Cricetulus griseus: one gene and its partners. The protein of the gene in region 5 interacts with the protein of the main gene of each other region in a pairwise test. Links are inferred from orthologs where the notes say so. Each region holds a gene or a part of one and is shown on either strand. Other genes may lie near its edges. The genes, in order: Stam2, Sertad1, Ddi1, Stxbp4 and Klhl42.

Region 1 (3,513 bases), on a different chromosome or scaffold from region 5:
CAGGTATGCTGTTGTGCAGGGTACACTGTTATTCAGGTACACTGTTATGCAGGGTACACTATTATTCAGGGTACACTGTTATGCAGGGTATACTATTATTCAGGGTACACTGTTATGCAGGGTACACTATTATTCAGGGTATACTGTTATGCAGGGTACACTATTATTCAGGGTACACTGTTATACAGAGTACACTATTATTCAGGGTACACTGTTATGCAGGGTACACTATTATTCAGGGTACTCTGTTGTGCAGGGTGCTCTGTTATGTAGAGTACACTCTTATCTCTTTGAAAGTGCTGAGTTCTTCTCAAAGAAAAGCTTAGGGGTATGGAGGTGCAATGGTTCATTTTGAACAGGGCTCTGCTCTCTGATGCTGGCCATAGGCATCACAGACAAAAACAGCTTTGAGAGAGTGGTTAAAGCCAGTTAAGTAAGCCTTGTAATCTTTTTTTTGGGGGGGGGGGTTCAAGACAGGGTTTCTCTGTGTAGCTTTGGAGCCTATCCTGGCACTCTCTGGAGACCAGGCTGGCCTCGAACTCACAGAGATCCACCTGCTCTGCCTCCCGAGTGCTGGGATTAAAGGTGTGTGCCACCAACGCCCAGCAAGCCTTGTAATCTTGCATTTTGTTAATATTTTTTTCTGAGCACTCCTTTTTTGTCTTTTCTTTTTGTTTGTTTGTTTGTTTGGTTTTTTGAGACAGGGTTTCTCTTTGTAAACTTAGCTGTCCTGGAACTAGCTCTTATAGATGAGACTGGCCTTGAACTCACAGAGATCTACCTGCCTCTGCCTCCTGAGTACTGGGATTAAAGGCATGTGCCACCACCGCCTGGTGACCATTCCTATTTTCTGATTTTTTTAAAAAAAGTTTTCTATAGTGTACAGGAGAATCCAAGATAACAACACTTTGTTGTAATTATTGCACAGAGCCTCAAGGTTTAAATAAAAAAATGTAAGTCTTAGTACTTCGGATACAAAGGCAAGCAGATTTCTTTGAGTACAAGGACAGCCTGGTCTACAGAGTGAGTTCCAGGATAGCCAAGGCTACAAAGTGAGACCCTGCCCTTAAATATAAATATAAATAAATAAGGCCAGGTGGTGGTGGCATAACCCTTAATCCCAGCACTTGGGAGGCAGAGGGAGGTGGATCTCTGTAAGTTCGAGACCAGCCTGGTCTACAAGAGCTAGTTCCAGGACAGGCTCCAAAGCTATACACAGAAACCCTGTCTCAAAAAACCAAAAATATATTTTGGTTAATTACATACATACATACATACATACATACACACACACACACACACACACACACACACACACACACACACACATACATACATACATACATACAAATACATCAGTGTTCAATGTCATCTCAGGTGAAAGAACAGCTTTCTTTTTGTCTGATTTCTTCCACTCGTGGCTGGACCTTCTCTGTCTTCATTGAGTTTCTTCACTTTGTTAGAAAGCCTTATCCTCCTCTCCCATCTACTTGGGCTGTTTAGGAATTTGTCTTGCCACTTTTTCACCTGATCTAGTGCCTGCCACCCCTTCCCTCTCCTTTCTTTTTTCTTTGTGTATGTGGTGTAGGTGTGTTTATGTGGGTACATTTACCTTGCTAGTTTGCTGCCCATGTAGGCATGTATGGAGGCCAGAAGTTAGGGTGCCTTCTTCATTCTCATCTCCACCATTTGTTTATTTATATTAAATTGTGTGTGCCTGGTTGTTCTGTCTGCATGCGTGTCTGTGCACCATTTGTGTGCCTGACACTTTCCAAGGCCAAAACAATATCCGATCTCTAGGAACTTGAGGCACAGATGGTTGTGAACTGCCATGTGAGTGCTGGGGATTAAGCTGGGTCATCTGGAAGAGCAACCAGTGTTCTTAACTGCTGAGCCATCCCTCGAGCACCATCCACTTATTTATTTTTTGATGCAGTCTCTCACTGAATCAGGAGCAGAGCACTCAGTTCTGGCTAGACTGCTAGGCAGGGATGCCTGTCTCTGACTCCCTGACCCAGGTTAGCTGAGGCTCCAGTTCAGGTCCTCTGCACCCTGCATCAGCTCTCCAGCCCTGCTCTTCAGAGTAAAAAAGTCATTCCAGGCAGGGGTGGCACACACCTTTTAGTCCCAGAACTCTGGAGGCAAGAGATTTCTGGATTTCTGTGAGTTCCAGGCCAGCCTGGTCTACAGAGCAAGTTCCAGGACTGCTACACAGAGAAACCCTGTCTCAAAAACCAAATAAACAAAATTATGTTAACAGTATCTGATGACTACATAAGCTTGAAAAGATGGAAAAAACATGTTTGTCTTGATGATCTGTTGCCATAACTCAAGGTAAATGTGATTTTCTTTGTAAAATTTCTTTTGCAGCACTACACAGGACACGGTTTCCAACCCTTCCTACATGAACCAGAGCTCTCATCTTCAGTCAGCTGCTGGTCCAGCTGCTTACACACAGCCCATGGGGATGTCAGCGGGTGTGTCTTCTTACCAGAACACAGCGTCCAGTTTGCCACAGCTGGCTGGCTTTCCAGTGGCAGTTCCTGCACCTCCAGCTGCACAGCCACCAAGTTACCACCAGCAGCCTCTCCTTTAGACATGCCAGGGCTGTTGGAAGTCCTTGTAGGCCTGTCACTCAACCCCGGGGGTTCTGATCTGAAATATTCAAACTCCCTTCTCAATCAAAAAGAACCATGAATAATAAAGCACAAAACCCCACCTACCCTGAAGGCCATAAAAGGGTTGTTTCTCAGTCCAGTTCTCGCGAAGCTCATCTTTTGATCAGAGGCCCCTTGAAAATGTTTCAGTTAGTTTTGTACTTTCTGGCCCTCGATGAGCAGCCTTATAACACTACAATGGTATAAGATAGGAGTATCAGAGTGTTCCTTTAAGGAAACCATTGTTTCCTCTAGGATGTGATTTTTGAGGAGCACTGAAGACATTTAAGCATTTTTGTCTGCATTTTTTTTCAAATTTTTCCCACCCTATTATTTTAAAAGATGAACATCTTTTAGTGTAAGCCTTAAGATTGCCAGTGTATTCCTTTTGGCTCCTTAAATTACAGTTGTGTTTGCAGTACTGTCAGTTTTGCTCCTAGTGTTATGCTGAGTAATAATTAGCATATAATTGTGTACAGAAGCAAGAGCAATTTGGAAAGAACAAAAGTATTTTCTGTTATTAACAGTGAAAGCCATGTAAATGCAAATGTGGTGAAGCAGTTAGCCAGTCCTGTGATAGCAGTGGGCCTAGGAATGCCTCACACAATGTTAGCCTTCCCCGAGGAAAGGCATTCTGTCTCTTGTATTTTGAATTGCCACTGTTGACCTTTTCAGGTGACATTGGCCTTGTCTAATGAAGGCACTGTCCTTTAGCTTTCCTTCCTGCCTTCTTAGGGATCATCTGTGAAGTTGAGTCAGGAGACTCTTCATAATCTGATGTGATAGAAACCATCATGGTGTGAAGTATGAGGTGGGCGTGTTACTTTCTTACAGCAGTGATTGACATTCCATTGGT
Region 2 (4,233 bases), on a different chromosome or scaffold from region 5:
ATGTCTGTGCATCATATGTGTGCCTGGGGCCTAGGCACCAAAGAGGATCCCAGACCCCCTGGAACTAGAGTGAAGGACAGCTGTGAGCTGCTACGTGAGTGCTAGGAACTGAACCTGGTCCTCTTTGAGAGCAAGTGCTTCTAATAATTTATTTATTTTTATTTTATGTGCATTGTTGCATTGCTTCCATGTACGTCTGTGCGAGGGTGTCAGATCCCCTGCAGCTGGAGGAACAGACAGTTGTGAGCTGGATGCTGGAAATTGAACCCAGTCTCCAGGAAGAGCAGCCAGTGCTCTTAACCTCTGAGCCGTCTCTCCAGCCCTGAGCAAGTGCTTTTAACCAATAAGCACCTAAACATTCTACTCTACTCTTAGTAAATCATCAGGCTTTTTTTTTTTTTTTCTTCAGTGCTGTAATCAAACACAGGTGTTTAACATGACGGAATGCTAGGCAAGCACTCTTTCGCTGAACTGCATCTCCCCTGGCATCTTTAAGACTAGTTAAAGGCCAGCTGTGGAGCTTAGGGCTTTAATCCCAGCACTCTGAGGCAGAGGCAAGTGAATCTCTGTGAGCTCGAGGCCAGCCTGGTGTACAGAGGGAGTTCCAGGACAGCCAGGGCTACTCAGAGAAACCCTGTCTCAAAAAAATAAAATAAAAAAAAAAATCCCCTAATTCCAGTTACTTGAGGGGCTGAGGAAAGATGATTGCTTTGTATTCCAGGCTAAGTTGAGCAACTTGGTGAAACTGTCTCAGAAAAATACAAAACAAACAAACAAAAAATTTCGCCCTTTCTTCTTTTGAGACAGGATCTCACTCTGAAGCCCAGGCTGGCCTGGAACTCAGTCTGGCTTCAAACTCCCAGCAATGCCCCTGCTTCAGTCTTCCCACGCTGGGATTATGGTTTGTGAACAACCACACTCCGAAAGGAAACAGATTTTGAGGGCTTTAGCCTGTTGTCCAAAGTCACGCCGCTACTCCGGAGGCACTGATGTCCAGGATGTGACCCTCATGCCATTATTCCATGTCCACCTTACTCCCGTCTTTAATTAGAGCGGAGCCCGGCTGGAGACAACACTCTTAACACGGTAGCTCTCAAGAGGAAGGTCGATTTAATAAACCGCGTCCCTCTCCCAGAACTCATCCCTCTCTCCAAGCTCACAAAGTGATCCGCCTGAGCCTTAAAAAACCTCCGAAGCCCCTACCTGTCACCCCGCCCAGTAAGGAGAAATCGCTACTAGTTTCAGGGCTCCGGGAGAGCTCCCGGGCATGCGCTTTAAGGACCGCCTCCCCTCCCTTGGGGACGGCCCCCCCGCAGGCTCCGCCCACCCCCACCAATGAGAGCCGAGCCCTGGGCGGGAGGGCGGGGCCGCCACGCGAGTGGGCGGGAACTAAGGATTGTGGAGTGGCCGGAGTCGTGCGCCGGAGTCAGAGCAGCGTCTCCCGTCCCGGGCGCCGGCGGTTGCGGGAGCCGGGCGAGCCGAGCGATGCGCCTGCTGCCGCTTCCTGATTGGCTGCGTGTGGCTCCCTCTTCGTTCTGATTGGCCGCGAGTGATCTGGGTATGTAAATGAGGGGGCCCGGTGGTGGTGGGGGGGTGGGAGGAGAGAGGCGGGGGAGGGTGGGAGTACCGACGGCCCGAGGTGTTTTTAGCGTGTTCGATCCCCCGGTTGGGGAGATGTTCGCCGGGGTTGTCCGGGATCCGGGCGGGCGCCCGGGGCCTGAACGTGACGCCCGTCCGGGCCGGACTGAGTGAATCACGCCGGAGCCGGAGAAGGGGGCGGAGGCGCAGGCTCCCTGGCTCCGGCTGCGTGACTCACCCGCCCCGCCGCCGCCGCGCCGCCGCTGCCGCCGCTGCTGCGCTGCCGCCTTCCGGAAGCCAGGGAAGGCTCTGGGCGGCCCGCGGGGGTCGCGGCTCGCCGGGGCCCCGGGTCTGAGGGGCCGGAGTCCCCGGGGAAGCCCTGGCCGGGCTGCCGCTAGGGGGCGCCTGCGCCCGGGGGCGGAGTCGAGGCGGGGGCTGAATTCCTGCGGTTGCCTGCCGAGGGTCTGCGCGCAAAGGGCGAGCGGGAAGGGCGAGCCAAGACTCCGGGGTCTTGTTGGGGCTGTCTAGGCAGCGTCCCCAGGGCTGAGCCTCCCCCCCTTCCCCCCCGATCCTTTGTGTCCCCCCCCCCGCCCCCCGAGATGCCACTCCGGGGTCCCAGACTCCGGTCTCCTCGCCGCATGGAAGGAAGTGTGGATTTCTCCAAACTTGGGTACTCAGTGGCCGAGCCCCGCGGCCCCCCGGCTCTCCCCGCTAACTCCAGGGGCCGCCGCTTCCTTGTGCTTAGCAGCTCGGGCTCCCCCAAACTCCAGCCGTCAGTGCCCCGGCCGCCCCCACCCCGCTCACCCTCTCTCTCCCCGATGCTGCCCCACCGGCAGCCCGCCCGCCCGCCCCCGGCGTCAGCGAAACGTCGCCTTCGGCCCCCTGCTCGACCCTCCTGCCTCCCCGGAGGACTCTGTCCTGTCACTCTGAAAATCCAAGCCGCCTCCCCCCCCCCCGCCTGCTCCCCACCCCCACCGGGACTCCTACCGTGTCACTCTGTGCGCTTGCTCCTTGTGTGGGTTTTCTTTTTTCTTTTTTCTTTTTTTTCCCTTCCCCGGTTAAGATTTGCCTCTCTCGGTCTTCCATTGGCTCTTCCGGGAATGCCCGGCCCCTGGTTCTCCATAGCTGTCGTCTACACTGCCTACATCAGATCCGAAGTATCTCCTTTACAGAAACTGCCCAAAGTACCTCCTATCGCTATCTGTGCATTCCCTCTATTGGATTAAATAATGTTTGATGCCAAGCAGACATTCTATGCCTTGAACTGTACAAGTAGGCTGCATTTCCAGCCAAGAGGCGGCACCTACCTGTAATCCTAACCCTTGGGAGGCTGGGGCAGAAGGACTGCCTGGGATAGCCAGCCAGCCTGGACTAACTACAGTGTGAGGCCCTGTCACAAAACCTGGAGCAAAACCATCCAGGCACTGCCACACATCTTTAATCCCAGCACTCAGGAGGCAGAGGCAGGCAGATCTCTAGAGTTTTGAGGCCAGCCTGATCTATAGAGTGAGTTCCAGGACCGGCTCCAAAGCTACAGAGAAGCCCTGTCTCGAAAAACCAAAATAAATAAATAAATAAATAATAAAAAAGAGCAAAACCAAAAAGTACTTACAAATAAATACTAGTTATGGTTGTTAAGAGCTTGCTATTGCTAGTTCCAGGACAGCCTCCAAAGCCACAGAGAAACCCTGTCTCAAAACTGCACCCCACCCCCCCAAAAAAAGAGCTTGCTATTGCTACAGAGGACGCAAGAGATTCCCAGCACCCAAATGGAATGGCTTATAATTGCTGTAACTCCAGCTCCAGGGACTCCAACAGGTGGCTTCCTTGGGCATCTACACTCTCGTGCATATACACACACACACACCACAAAATTTAAAATAAAAGTAAAATTAGCCAGGCATTTGTAGCTCATGCCTTTAATCCCAGCACTCGGGAGGCAGAGGCAGGCGGATCTCTGAGTTCAAGGCCAGCCTGGTCTACAGAGTGAGTTCCAGGACAGGCTCCAAAGCAATACAGAGAAACCTTGTCTTGAAAAACCAGAAAATAAAAATAAAATAAAAGTAAAATTTGAAAGTTCTAAAGACCATGATGCAAGGGCTTTTTATTCTTTTGTTAATCTAATCCATATAGCAACTTACAATGTAGATGTTAGCTGTTTCTTAGAACTTTACTGAGCAGGCTCAGTTGGTGGAATGTTTGCTTTACATGCAGGAAGCCCTGAGTTCCATCCCCAGCATCCAGTATACCAAGCGTGGTGGCATACACCTGTAGTCCCAGCACGGGGGCTGTGGGTAAGAGATGATCATAAACTCGAGGCCAGCCTGAGTTGTGTGATCCTGTCTCATTAAAAATGAGGAAGAATTTGCTTAGAAAACCTGGACTGGGAGGTTAGTTGCCTTGTGAAGCTCACGCTGACAGCAGTTGTCAGAGCTGGGTGTGACCTGAATATTGACTTTCCCTAACTGAATGGCTCCTTCCTCCCTGCAGACAATGCTGAGCAAGGGTCTAAAGCGAAAACGGGAGGAGGAGGAGAAGAAGGAGGAGGAAGGCCTCTCGGTGGACTCCTGGTGGTTAGATCAAGGCCACCCAGCAGCCGCACAGACCCCCCCGCCCGTGGCTTCCAGTTCTCTCTTTGACCTCTCGGTGCTCAAG
Region 3 (2,893 bases), on a different chromosome or scaffold from region 5:
TTCTGTGGGCACTTAAACACACACACACACACACACACACACACACACACACACACACACACGAGGCGAGGGCAGGGATAATACAAAACCATTGCTCTTGCTAATATAAAATCCTTTTGTTTACATGTATATTTGTAGTCTGAAAGAATGGCTTTTTTTTTAGGAACTTATGCAAAATAAACAGCCCTTGGTTTGGACATGCCCTCCCTGTAATCTGACAGGAAATACTTGTTTTCCCTTTAATAGATGTTGGGAAACCAACTTGGATCTCCAGCCCTTCCCCTGGATGAGGTTCAGTCATCTGGAGTGAAGGAATGGACCCACATACACACACTGCCATGAGTCAGTGATGACTTACATAGTCACCCATTTGTGAACTCAGTCACAAGGCCAGGCTGGTTGCTAAGATGTTTTTAATGATGACATTGCCATTGAGCTCATGTCTTATACTTTTCTGGGACCTATGGCTTGCTCCCTCGTGGCAGTGGCTTATATACAACCTGATTCAATGCTGTTTTCGTCCTGGACCCTTGACTGGATGTTTGATGATATTGCCTGGTACTTCCTTATCCGAAGAGTCTTCTTGCACAGTTCCACTCACCAGTCTGGCACACAAGGGCAACTCTCCCTCAGGAAGGAAGTGTGTTTGTGTGCCGGTGGTGCCAATGACCAGCACATTTTTCTTTAGGTCGATGGAACACTGATGCCTCCTGAGCATATCAAGCCCTAGAAGGATATCCATCGGCTGCTCTTCCAGTATGGAGAAAGAGCACTGTAAGAAATCACCTTCAATCTGAATCTGAGCCAGATGAACTCGGCCCACAATCCTCTGTGTGCCCACTCCCTTAGCAACCCCGGCCCATCGCTGGTCCACCAGTCTCATGATGTTACATCTCTCAGCACATGCTTGGCTCATGATAGTCATCTGAGCACCCGAGTCAACGAAAGCCTTTAAAGGGTGCCCGTTCACTTTGCAGTTAATATAGAGCATAGCCACTTGTCCAAAACTCTCTGGAGCCTCTTCCATAGCTATGTTCATATTTTCTTCAATATTCTGTTGTCTGATTTCTTCTTCTATTCTAGCCTGAGCTTCCTGATCAAATGGGTCTGCAGAATAAAGACGAACCATCTCTTGCTCTCTCAATGCCCTTTCCCTCTGCTGTTCCATCAGGACCTGAGAAAATGTCTCGAGGCTTCCACTAAGCAGAGCTTCAGCCAAAGCGGGATTCCGTTCCTTCAACAGGGACAGATCATGAGGGTTGGAAAGCAGCATGCTGCGAATCAGAGCAGGGCTATTGAGATCCCGAGCATAGGCCATATTCTCTCCCGAGGCCAATCCGTGCGCTTGTGTTGATGGTATACGTTGCTGACGCTGATGATGATGGTGACGGGTACTTGATGTTCCAGGTATGGCTGACCCGGTGAAATCTGCTCGAGGCTGGTTTGGGGTCCTTCCTGGAGTCCGAAGTCCCACATTGTCCTTCTGAAGTAGTACAACCATATCACCATCTTTGAGGCCGTAGGTGCCCAGGGAACAATGGTCATCTGTGAGGAGTTGTTCCATGTAGACGAACTGAATCTCCTCAGCAGGTACACCAGACTCAAGCTCACAGAGGACTCTGAAGTTGCAGAGCTCAAAGTCAGGGCTGACCTGGAGGGAAAAGGTTGCCTCTGTGAGGTCCCTACGCACACAGTACACAGTTATCAGCATGGTACACACTCAGGAAAGCCACGTTGGCAGAAAACATCTGGTGGATCACTGGCTGACTGGTGCTGGTTTGGGTTGATGTCTGGCCTGCCCCTTACACCTTGTTATGAAACTCATTCAACTCTCAGAAAGGCAAAGGCAGTGACCAGAATGGAGGCTGCCTCCCAGCCCCAGTGCCAGCCGATGGCCCCATTGAGCCTCAAGGTAACAAGTCCATGTGGTATGTACTGCTTGGAACTTAGAACATCTGTTTCCATAGAAATTGTTACTCAAGGCCAGTGGTTTCCAAGGCTGGTCTTCAAATTCTACTTAATACTAGCCACGCAGAACATCTAAATTCTCTTAACCATGCCAATATTCAGCCTGTTAACTATAGGCCTGTATTTCACATACTTATTCTTATCTCTGAGACAGTGCGGTTGTGACTTGGACATGACAAGAACCATGATATATTCTTAGTAGGAGACATAGGTGCTTGCCATTGAAGGTAGATGAGTAGATCGTGACCTGAGGTGGATGTCTTCAGCACCTCTGACAGTATACAGAGGCTGTATCTGCTATAGAAGTGACAACCTGAATGCAGAAGGAGGAATATTTTTCTGGGTGAGAAAAGGTTAGTCATTTCAGACAAATTCAGAGACAAAGGAGAAAGGAAGAACAGGAATGTGTGGTTCCTCTGAGGAACCCAGTTTGACACTGATTCTATAGTAAAGTACATGGCAATCCAGAAGATAAATATGCCTCTCTCTGACCTTGAGACACAGCGGCCCCCACCACCCAAACAAGTACCAACCTCAAAGTAGAGACTCTGAAGTCAAGGATGATTGGGTAGAACTCTTGTGAACTCAATTTTCTTCCCTGAAACTGTTCTGTGCTGTAAAGAGTTCACAGGTCCCTGGACCCTCCCTCCCAGGTGTCTACTTATGAACCAAAGGTGGTCACAGTCTTGTGCCATGCACAACCTCACCCCTATTTAGGAATTTTCAGCTGTGTTCCACAATACAGAGGCTATTGCATCAGCTTAAAGAATTTTTTTTTATTTCTGTTTCTCTTGTGTTTCAGTTGAAAGACTATCACTTCTTGCTCTAATTATCTCAACATTGCCATATGCTTTTTTTTCTTATATTAGGAATGTTGATTGAATGCATAACGGGAAACATTAACTGGGTTATAGGGAAGCAGTCA
Region 4 (4,221 bases), on a different chromosome or scaffold from region 5:
CTACCATAAAGCACCAGGAATTTTTATCTGACATTTCTTCACCGCTATTATTTCCTTATCAGATGTGGGGGTGATGCTACTTCCAAGACATCCTTCTGCTGCTTGAGGTTAACGGAAGTCTGATTTTCACATAATTTTACCTTTCCTAAACGAAAAGCCAAGCGTGAGGCTAATGGAAGACTCTAAAAAAAGCTACTGTATCGACATCTTTCTCTCATTACACAAGTTACTTAGCTTCATTCAATTTCCCTCGACATTGTCAAAACTACACTTTCATCCTAAAAGGTAAATCGAGAGCAAGTATTTGACCTTATTTAACAGGTTAAGTATATCATTCTGATAGGAGACTGAGTTTTAAGATGAACCGTTTTCCTAAAGAATTTAAGTCGGTTGGATAAAAAGCAATTTAAGTGTTCTTCAAATATAAACTCCATATATATATTCATTCTCCATATTTATTTATTTATTTATTTATTCATTCATTCATTCATTCTTGGGGCACGTGTTATATTAAAGTTTCTCAAGTTCGATGCGATAATAGGTTTCGATGGGTTGTATTTCAATTTGCTCATCCAAAGGGACCGCTGCGTTCCACGTCTTCCTATATTTAACTTCCTCATTTCTTGCTCTAACACCTGGTGATTGCATGGCCAGTGTGCTAAACATGGAACTTGATTCTAAGACGGAACTTGATCCTAAGATGACATTTTAAAAACCTAACGTTAACACAGCCCGAGGAAAGCATGTGCACAGACACGCTCCGGAGTCTCAATGACGTCCTTTCTGTCGGTCTCAGTGCGACTGGCATTTCAGGGTGGACGATCCTTGTTTTGTTTTATTTTTAATTTTTATTTTGGAGGGGCGGGGTGTCCCGGGAACCTGCTGCACTCACTAAGTGCCGGGGAGTAGCCTGCGCTGCACAGCACGGCAGGACGCTCCTTCCTCCCCGTGCAAGCCCCATCGTTGCCGACCCGGCCTTCCGCGGGCAGCTTTCTGGGCTGACCTCCGTCTCCCAGGCAGAGGCCCCGCAGGGCGCCGGCGGCATCCGGCCCGCACCCGGTCCCTCCCTACCTGGCAGTAGAGCCGATAGAGGGGCACGGCGGCGTAGGAGGCCCCCAGCATGCCCACGGCGGCCGCGGCCACGTAGGTGAGCACCGTCTTGTTCCGCCGCCGCCACTCGTCCTCCTGCGCGCGCTGGAAAGGGTTGCTGCTCGCCGGCCGCCGGGGCGGCTGCGCGGCGGGACCCCGGGCCCCGCTCGGGCGCTTCCATGTCCCGAGCCGCCTCAGTCCGCGCTCGGCACTCTCCACGCTCCGGCCCGGCCACGCAGGCGGCCTCCAGCAGCGGCCGCACAGAGCGACCGACCTCCATCCCCGGCACCAAAACCCTCCCATAACCCCCCGGAACCAGGGCCCGCTCAGCGGAATCTCGCGATGCCTCGCGTGTCCCGCGTACGCGCGCACGCGCGGGTTGAGCCCCGCCGCTGCCTTGACTACCAGATTCCTCAGGTAGCCGCCGAGCTACGGAGGCCGGGTGGCCAGAAGAGGGTAAGTTCGCGTTTTTTTGTTTTGTTTTTTTGCTAGGTGGCTGTGCCTTGCTTGCACTTTGTTTCCCTCTCATACTTCTTTGATTTACTTTGTGGAAAGTGCATCTGGGCCCTCTGCAGACAAGCTCCTCCCTGGGGATTGTGCTGTAACACTTACACCCCTCTTACACCCCAAACTCCACCAGCCTTTGTCTCAGCGGCTCCCAGCGGCGGCTCTCCCGCGGGGCTTCCACTTGGAGTTTACTAGCCCTGTGGATTCTGTCTCGGACCTGAGCTCAGACAAACTTCCCTCTTTGATGACTGCTTACTGTGCACACCGCATCCCTCTCCAGCACTGGGCGTCTGCATCTCCTCAGCCCGCGGGCAGAAGTTTTCCACTGCGCTGATAGCTCTTTGCTGTTTACCCAGCCAAAAATCAAGTCAGAGAACCGCTCGCAAATTGCAGTTTGTTCAGAACAGAAGGACCAAGATATGAGGGCCCTTAAAGGAGGGGCTGAAAAGAATAAGGCTATGCATCTATGCATCCTGCAGGCAGAGTCACCCCCCCTCCCCCCGCGGGATATATGCAATAGCTTTCTTCAGTTTTCTAATAGAACAAACAAAGACAGTTATAAAATAGCAGCTAAGAGCAGATTCTGAGGTTAAGCACTGATAAATTTCCTAAGGTCTTGTCCTTCCTTTTATTTTATTTTGTTTTATTTTATGTTATTTATAACTTCCCTGTAACCCGCTGGTGTTATTTCGTGACTGGAAATCAAGGTAGTTTACGAGGATGAACATATAAAGTGATTTCCCCACTGCTTCAGGCATAGTAAGAATTTCATAAAAGTTAGGTCTAATTTCTAATGGCTAGAGTGGGTCTAATTATCTCCGCTTTGTGGGTTAGAAACCTGAAACCCTAAAGAACTGTTAACATTTATTCCTTGCACTTTTTTAATTGCCTGGGGCGCCATCCAAAAATAAATCAGGCATAATCACCTTTGTTATTCATTGCCCTGTCTACTGAAGGACTCAGAAAATAAACCTTTAAATAAGGAGATTTCAGATAACAGTGTCTGCCATCAAAATAGCTGGTGGCATGAAGTAATTGAGAGTGACAATGAGAGATACTGAGGTTATGTCTTTCTCTAAGAGGTAAAATAAGGTCTTCCTAGAGGTGACATTTGAGCCTATTCCTGAACCCTGAAAAAGAGCTACCCACAAAACAACAGTTTCAGGTCATACACAAGTCCAGAGGCAGGAATGGGTTGGGTAGGATTAGAAAAAACAAAACACAGGGTCAGTGTGAATCTTGCATAATGAGCAGAGCTGACGGGAAAGGAAATGGGGTCACAGCAGGTACACAAAGACCTGATAAAGTCATTTAAACCATGTCTAAGGGAAGCTTACTTAGGAACACAGGAGTGGTTCCATCTGAGTTTCTTCACACTGAAGGAAGACAAAGGTGCTAGTCACATGATGAGAAGGAAAGAGGCAACTGGAGTGGTAGTCTAAGAGGAGATGGAGACCTTGAATAAGTAGCTCATCAGTGGCCACCGGGCTTCAAAATTGCAGAGCTCATAAGATCTGAGTCACTGTCTAGTACAGCACTCGGGTGCATTGTTACACAAACTACAAAACTCTTACTCCACAAACTTGCTTCAGTTTTGTTATGGCACTGTTTGATCACCCTTTCCCTCTGTATGTACCTTGATTCTTATGCCAGATTGTCAGATATTCAGGATAAAATCTCTCATTTTAATTTTCTGACAACAGAGACTCAAATTCCATACTAGGGGGGGCTCAGATGGAAATTAAAAGCATTTGCTTTTCTTGTAGGCAGACCTGGGTTCAGTTCCCAGCCTTTATTTGGGGACTCAGAGCTTTGACTCCAGCTCCAGAGGCCCTGCTACCCTTTTCTAGTCTCTTCAGGTGCTCCACATACATACATGCAGGCAATATACTTGTAAATTTTTTTTAAATCCTATGCTAACATTAATGTGCTTGAAGCTAACAGTATATATCCTTCAACTCCCTCCCCCCACTTCCAGGTATTTTTTTCTCCAGATTATTCAAAACAGTTGTGTAAGTATGTCATTATTACAGTTGTAGTCATGAATGCTTTCATTTATTAATTGAAAATGAATATCTGATGTACAGCCATTTTGATTGCAGTAAAGTGAACTAGGTCTTTCTAGATTTCTCTTTTTTTTTTAAAGATTTATTTATTTGTTATGTATACAACATTTTGTCTCCATATATGCTTGCACAACAGAAGAGGGCACCATATCTCATTATAGATAGTTGTGAGCCACCATGTGGTAGCTGGTAATTGAACTCAGGACCTCTGAAAGAACAGTCAGTACTCTTAACTTCTGAGCCATCTCTCCAGCCCCTAGATATCTCTTAATAAAATAAAATAGGCAACAATCCAATCCCTATATGATAATATAAAATGACAGTTCGTGTTTATTAAAGTGTGTAATTAAAATATTTCAATTTCCAAAATTTACTTTGAAATTATTTCAAAAGTTACGTAATCATTGCAGACATAATAAAATTTCCACTTATCCTTCACCTCCTTTCCCTAATCTTAAAGATCTCTGTACCATTTTAGAAGACAGTAGACATGCTATTCTGGAACTGTATACTTAATACATACATGAGTATTGATTACAAGGACACAACACAGCCATCA
Region 5 (4,290 bases):
ATGTCATTGTGTTGTCCAGGGCCAACAACCTACCTTGCGGGATCGGTGCCCGGTGTTGTCAGGGAACACTCCAGATTCCAGTCCCAGCTGACTTGCCGTGGTAAAGTGACCATGGCTGAATTGCCTTTCTAATGAGAATCAGCCTCTAAGGGTGGCTTTTTTGGTTTGTCTTTAAAAGGCAAGAGAATACCAGGTGAAGGCGTATCTGTGATCTGGAAACAAAAGCTCCCATTGGTAAAGGTTCTAAAGAGCTGGAGACTAAGAGCCTGTCCTTCTGGTGACCCGTTGATCCCTGCCTCGTGGCTAAAGGAGGTACAGACAGATCAGGTCCAGCCTCTTTGACGTCATGCCTCCCAGCAGCCCCCAGCCTAACATCTAATCCTAGACATGGCACTCTGCCTTGCCATAGAGACTGCTAAATCCTTGGCCCCGCACCTGCACCTTCCTCACACCCCAAACACTGAGAGTGACAGACAGATAACCCATGGAAGCCATCCAGGAATGATTCAAGGCCTGTCAATCATACAGTGCAATGTCTCCAGTTTCTCAGAGAATCCAAGAAAGTAACAAAGTATAACAAGTCCGGGGTCTGTGTGTGTGTGTGTGTGTGTGTGTGTGTGTGTGTGTGTGTGTGTGAGTGGCCCTTTGCCCCAGCAAGGCTGGACTCTACTAGAATGTTTTCTGTACTTTCTTGTGCCTTATCCTTGTTTGTATTCTGCAGAACACAAAGGCTGAAAGCCCCCTCTCTGTGGAGCAGCCCACGGACTGACACAGTTATGCTGGGGAATTCAATGCGGGCCACCTTGCCTGCAAACACTACCACTTCACCACAGCGAGCCCTTAGGAATCAGTCTTCTAACCAAGTGAGCCTCCAGGGGAGACGGGCAAGGTGTTGAGTGACAGGTGCTGCCCAGGTCAGACTTCTACCTGGAGGTGACAGGCCTAATGCACCTCAGTGCCCTCTCCATCCACCCGCCCCTGCCCCTTCGGGTGCTCTCTTGGCCTCTGGTTCTCTCCAGAGACCCTACTTGCTGCTTCTGGTGCTGAGCTCTGAACTCTCCTTGGAGGCCCGACTATGCCATTGCCCGTCTGTCTGTGTCTGTCTGTCTTGTCCATGGAGTTAACAACACCTCTAAAACTCCTTAGCTCCAGTAATCCCTCAGTGTATTATTCTTGGACCACCAGGCCAGGCCGGTCACAGTGCAAACCTAGCAGTGCTGACTGACTGGTCCTAGAAAACTGAGCAGGGACAGCTGCCTGAGCTGCTGCAGGAAACGCTACAATGATTTGTGCATAGGGAGAGGGCATGGCGAACCGGCGCGTTTGTTTCTTTGTTTCCTGATCAATTACAAAAAGACCGTGCTGGAGGGACACGCAGTGGTTAAGTGTGCACACTGCTGCTGCGGAGGTCGGGAGTTCGGTTCCTGTTCCTGCGTAGGGCGGCTCACAACCGCCAGTGCCTCGGGCTGCAGGGTCGTGTGACGCCTTTGGCCTCCTGACACCCGCGCTGACGCGCACGCACCCACACGGACACGTCGATAAAAGACACAGAGAGGCCATTTACTCGGAGGGCGCATGACGTGCCGGCGGCGCTGAGCCGGGGGCCCGCGGCGGCGGAAGGAAGCGCGGGCGCAGGCCCGGCTCGGCGGAGGGTGTGAGCCCGGGGGAGGAGCCTGCGCGGCCGGGCGGCGGGCGGCGGGCGCAGCGGCCCAGCGGCCCAGCCATGTCCGCCGAGGAGGTGGTGCAGATCAGCCTGGAAGGCCGCTGCTACCCGGTGAGCAAGAGCAAGCTGATCGAGCAGAGCGACTACTTCCGCGCGCTCTACCGCTCCGGCATGCGCGAGGCCGTGCGGCCCGAGGCTGGCCCGGAGGTGCAGCAGCTGCGCGGCCTGAGCGCGCCGGGCCTGCGGCTGGTGCTCGACTTCATCAACGCGGGCGGCGCGCGCGAGGGCTGGGGCCTGGGCGAGGACGAGGTGCTGGCCGAGCTGGTGGAGGCCGCGTCCTTCCTGCAGGTCACGGCGCTGCTGCGCCTGCTGCTGTCGCATGTGCGTCTGGGCAACTGCTTGGAGCTGTACCGCCTGGCTCAGGTGTACGGGCTGCCCGACCTGCAGGATGCCTGCCTGCGCTTTATGGCGCTGCGCTTCCACCAGGTGCTGTGCCAGCCGCAGTTCCCGCTCCTGCTGTCGCCGCCGCAGGCCCCGGGGGACTGCAGCCTGAAGCAGAGGCTGAGGGAGGCCCGCATGCGCGGGACCCCGGTTCTGGTGGCCCTGGGGGATTTCCTCGGGGGACCCCTGGCCCCGCACCCGTATCAGGGGGAACCCCCGTCCATGCTTAGGTACGAGGAGACCACGGAACGCTGGTTCCCGCTGGCCAACAACCTGCCCCCCGACCTGGTGAACGTCAGAGGCTACGGCTCAGCCGTCTTGGACAATTACCTCTTCATCGTGGGCGGGTACAGGATCACCAGCCAGGAGATCTCGGCCGCACACTCCTACAACCCCACCACCAACGAGTGGCTGCAGGTGGCCTCCATGAACCAGAAACGGTAAGTGTCTGTCGGCAGGGCCTGAGCCCTCCATTCATTGTCCTGGCAGAGTTCCCGGGGAGCCCGGGGCCTGCCAGCAGGAAGTCGGCCCGCCCAGTGACCTTCTTCCAGGTGCGGGCCTCAGGTTTCTCTGTCTCGGTGTGTTTGAAGTGGATATTACAGAAGATGACTGCTGTTTTTTCCTTCTCTTTCCTTCCCTGGTCTGATCCGAATTATAATGCCTCTTTGGCAGCAGTATCTAACACTCTGGCTTCAGGAACTTTGGTTGTCGCTGCCAGTGACTTTGCATCCTTCTGCACCTGGGTAGGAATCCGCCGTCCCTAGGATGATGATATTAATACGCGCCACAAAGGGATTCACTTCTTTTTTTCCCCTTCCTTCTCCCTTCTTTTTGTTTATTTCCTCCCTAGACAGCAATCATCTTTGACCCAAAACTTGAGCCCAGAGCAGGATCAACTACAGAATCGGCATGCCCTTGCCCCTCGAGTCTCTTGTCTGCCTGAGCATCCTGCAGCTATTAGCATGAAGCATACATGTACCCCCCTGCTTATGTTCCTTGGTTTTCCTTTATCTTGGTGTGTTCTTTCCTCAGGCTGGTCTTGAACTCCTGAGCTCGCTAGGCTCAAGTGATCCTCCTGCCTTCTAGCCTTTGGAGTGCTGGGATTAAAGGTGTGCACTAACGAGTCTGGCTTTCTACAATAAATAATCTCTATGTTCCTTACAGCTTCAAATGTAATGTATCTACCTTGTCAGTGTTGTCAATATACACACTTCCCCTGCTTACTGTTTGAATCTATGAACCTGTGGACTCAAAGGGCCAGGTGCATTCATTCCTTTCTCCCTCACTCATTCCCTTCCTGTGGAGCCCTCTTACCTTGACCATGGGTGGCTCAGAGAAGAAATGGAGGAGCTTGGAGGTCAGGGTGGGAGGAGAAGTAAGGAAAGGAGCCTGGAGAAAAAGAAAATGAAAGCAAGATAAAAAAAAAAAAAAAAAAAGCAGACACAGGAAGAGAAAGGGAGTCCAGACAGTCGTCCCAGGTTGTCTCAGTCTTACAGGCCTGTTGCCCCAGCTGCTTAGACTGCTGAAGCGAGCAGGTTCCAAGGTAAGGGCCTTTCTAGGTTGCAGGTGAGTTCCAGGCCAGCCTGGATAACAAGCAAAACATAGGAGAGTGGGAAAACCATATCTCAGTGTGAGAGCGCTTGCCTAGAACTCATGAGGCCTCCATTCAATCACCAGTGCCCCAGAAATGGTGGGGAGGGTAGCTACGACAGGACAGGCCCTCTCTACCAGGCCACCTGCTGCCACCCAGATCCCACTGTGGTCTTTGCCTTGAAATGACTGGAAACTAGAAGGAAGAAATCTGAACTGGAACTGCCCGGTCCAACGCAGGACAAGAGACACTTAGGTTAGGGGTTATTTGCAGGAACATACCTTGTCCTGATGGCTCAGAGGCTGAGAGCACTTGGTGCTCTTTCATAAGACGTGGTGTTCAGTTTCCCAGCTCCCACACTGGGTGCTATAACCTGTAGCTGCATCTCCAGGGCATCTGTAGCTAACAGGCACCCACATACATGCATACATACACATATAGGCACCAAATAAAGATAAAAAGTAAATCCTAGAAAGCCCTGGAAAGCTGAATTATAAGAAGCAGAGATGAATGTGCCACCCACTCTCCCTTCCAGAGGTATTACTAGGGGTTGGTGGGCTTCCATCCGACCTACTGTAACATGGTATTTATATCA

Evidence for each region.
Region 1: the proteins of Klhl42 (region 5) and Stam2 interact in binary tests that used the Homo sapiens proteins (3 or more experiments, as listed by UniProt). The two-hybrid records come from large-scale screens. The link is inferred for Cricetulus griseus from reciprocal best matches to the Homo sapiens genes KLHL42 and STAM2.
Region 2: the proteins of Klhl42 (region 5) and Sertad1 interact in binary tests that used the Homo sapiens proteins (3 or more experiments, as listed by UniProt). The two-hybrid records come from large-scale screens. The link is inferred for Cricetulus griseus from reciprocal best matches to the Homo sapiens genes KLHL42 and SERTAD1.
Region 3: the proteins of Klhl42 (region 5) and Ddi1 interact in binary tests that used the Homo sapiens proteins (3 or more experiments, as listed by UniProt). The two-hybrid records come from large-scale screens. The link is inferred for Cricetulus griseus from reciprocal best matches to the Homo sapiens genes KLHL42 and DDI1.
Region 4: the proteins of Klhl42 (region 5) and Stxbp4 interact in a two-hybrid assay, tested with the Homo sapiens proteins (2 studies listed by BioGRID and IntAct). The two-hybrid records come from large-scale screens. The link is inferred for Cricetulus griseus from reciprocal best matches to the Homo sapiens genes KLHL42 and STXBP4.

Annotation. Positions count from the first base shown.
Region 1 is NC_048599.1:121,658,792-121,662,304, forward strand, and holds part of Stam2 (signal transducing adapter molecule 2), read left to right. Parts: intron 1-2,370; coding exon 2,371-2,596; coding exon of another isoform or gene 2,597-2,697; 3' UTR 2,698-3,513.
Region 2 is NC_048602.1:8,436,102-8,440,334, reverse strand, and holds the start of Sertad1 (SERTA domain-containing protein 1), read left to right. Parts: upstream 1-1,424; 5' UTR 1,425-1,558; intron 1,559-2,153; exon of another isoform or gene 2,154-2,248; intron 2,249-3,582; exon of another isoform or gene 3,583-3,968; intron 3,969-4,068; 5' UTR 4,069-4,071; coding exon 4,072-4,233. UniProt on the Homo sapiens protein: Acts at E2F-responsive promoters as coregulator to integrate signals provided by PHD- and/or bromodomain-containing transcription factors. Stimulates E2F1/TFDP1 transcriptional activity.
Region 3 is NC_048597.1:120,942,982-120,945,874, forward strand, and holds Ddi1 (protein DDI1 homolog 1), read right to left. Parts: upstream 1,712-2,893; coding exon 506-1,711; downstream 1-505. UniProt on the Homo sapiens protein: Probable aspartic protease. Seems to act as a proteasomal shuttle which links the proteasome and replication fork proteins like RTF2. Required, with DDI2, for cellular survival following replication stress.
Region 4 is NC_048600.1:103,739,740-103,743,960, reverse strand, and holds the start of Stxbp4 (syntaxin-binding protein 4), read left to right. Parts: upstream 1-1,411; 5' UTR 1,412-1,545; intron 1,546-4,221. Other genes in the region: cytochrome c oxidase assembly protein COX11, mitochondrial, read right to left, coding at 1,072-1,392. UniProt on the Homo sapiens protein: Plays a role in the translocation of transport vesicles from the cytoplasm to the plasma membrane. Inhibits the translocation of SLC2A4 from intracellular vesicles to the plasma membrane by STX4A binding and preventing the interaction between STX4A and VAMP2.
Region 5 is NC_048601.1:2,620,137-2,624,426, reverse strand, and holds the start of Klhl42 (kelch-like protein 42), read left to right. Parts: upstream 1-1,479; 5' UTR 1,480-1,723; coding exon 1,724-2,544; intron 2,545-3,418; exon of another isoform or gene 3,419-3,499; intron 3,500-4,290. UniProt on the Homo sapiens protein: Substrate-specific adapter of a BCR (BTB-CUL3-RBX1) E3 ubiquitin-protein ligase complex required for mitotic progression and cytokinesis. The BCR(KLHL42) E3 ubiquitin ligase complex mediates the ubiquitination and subsequent degradation of KATNA1.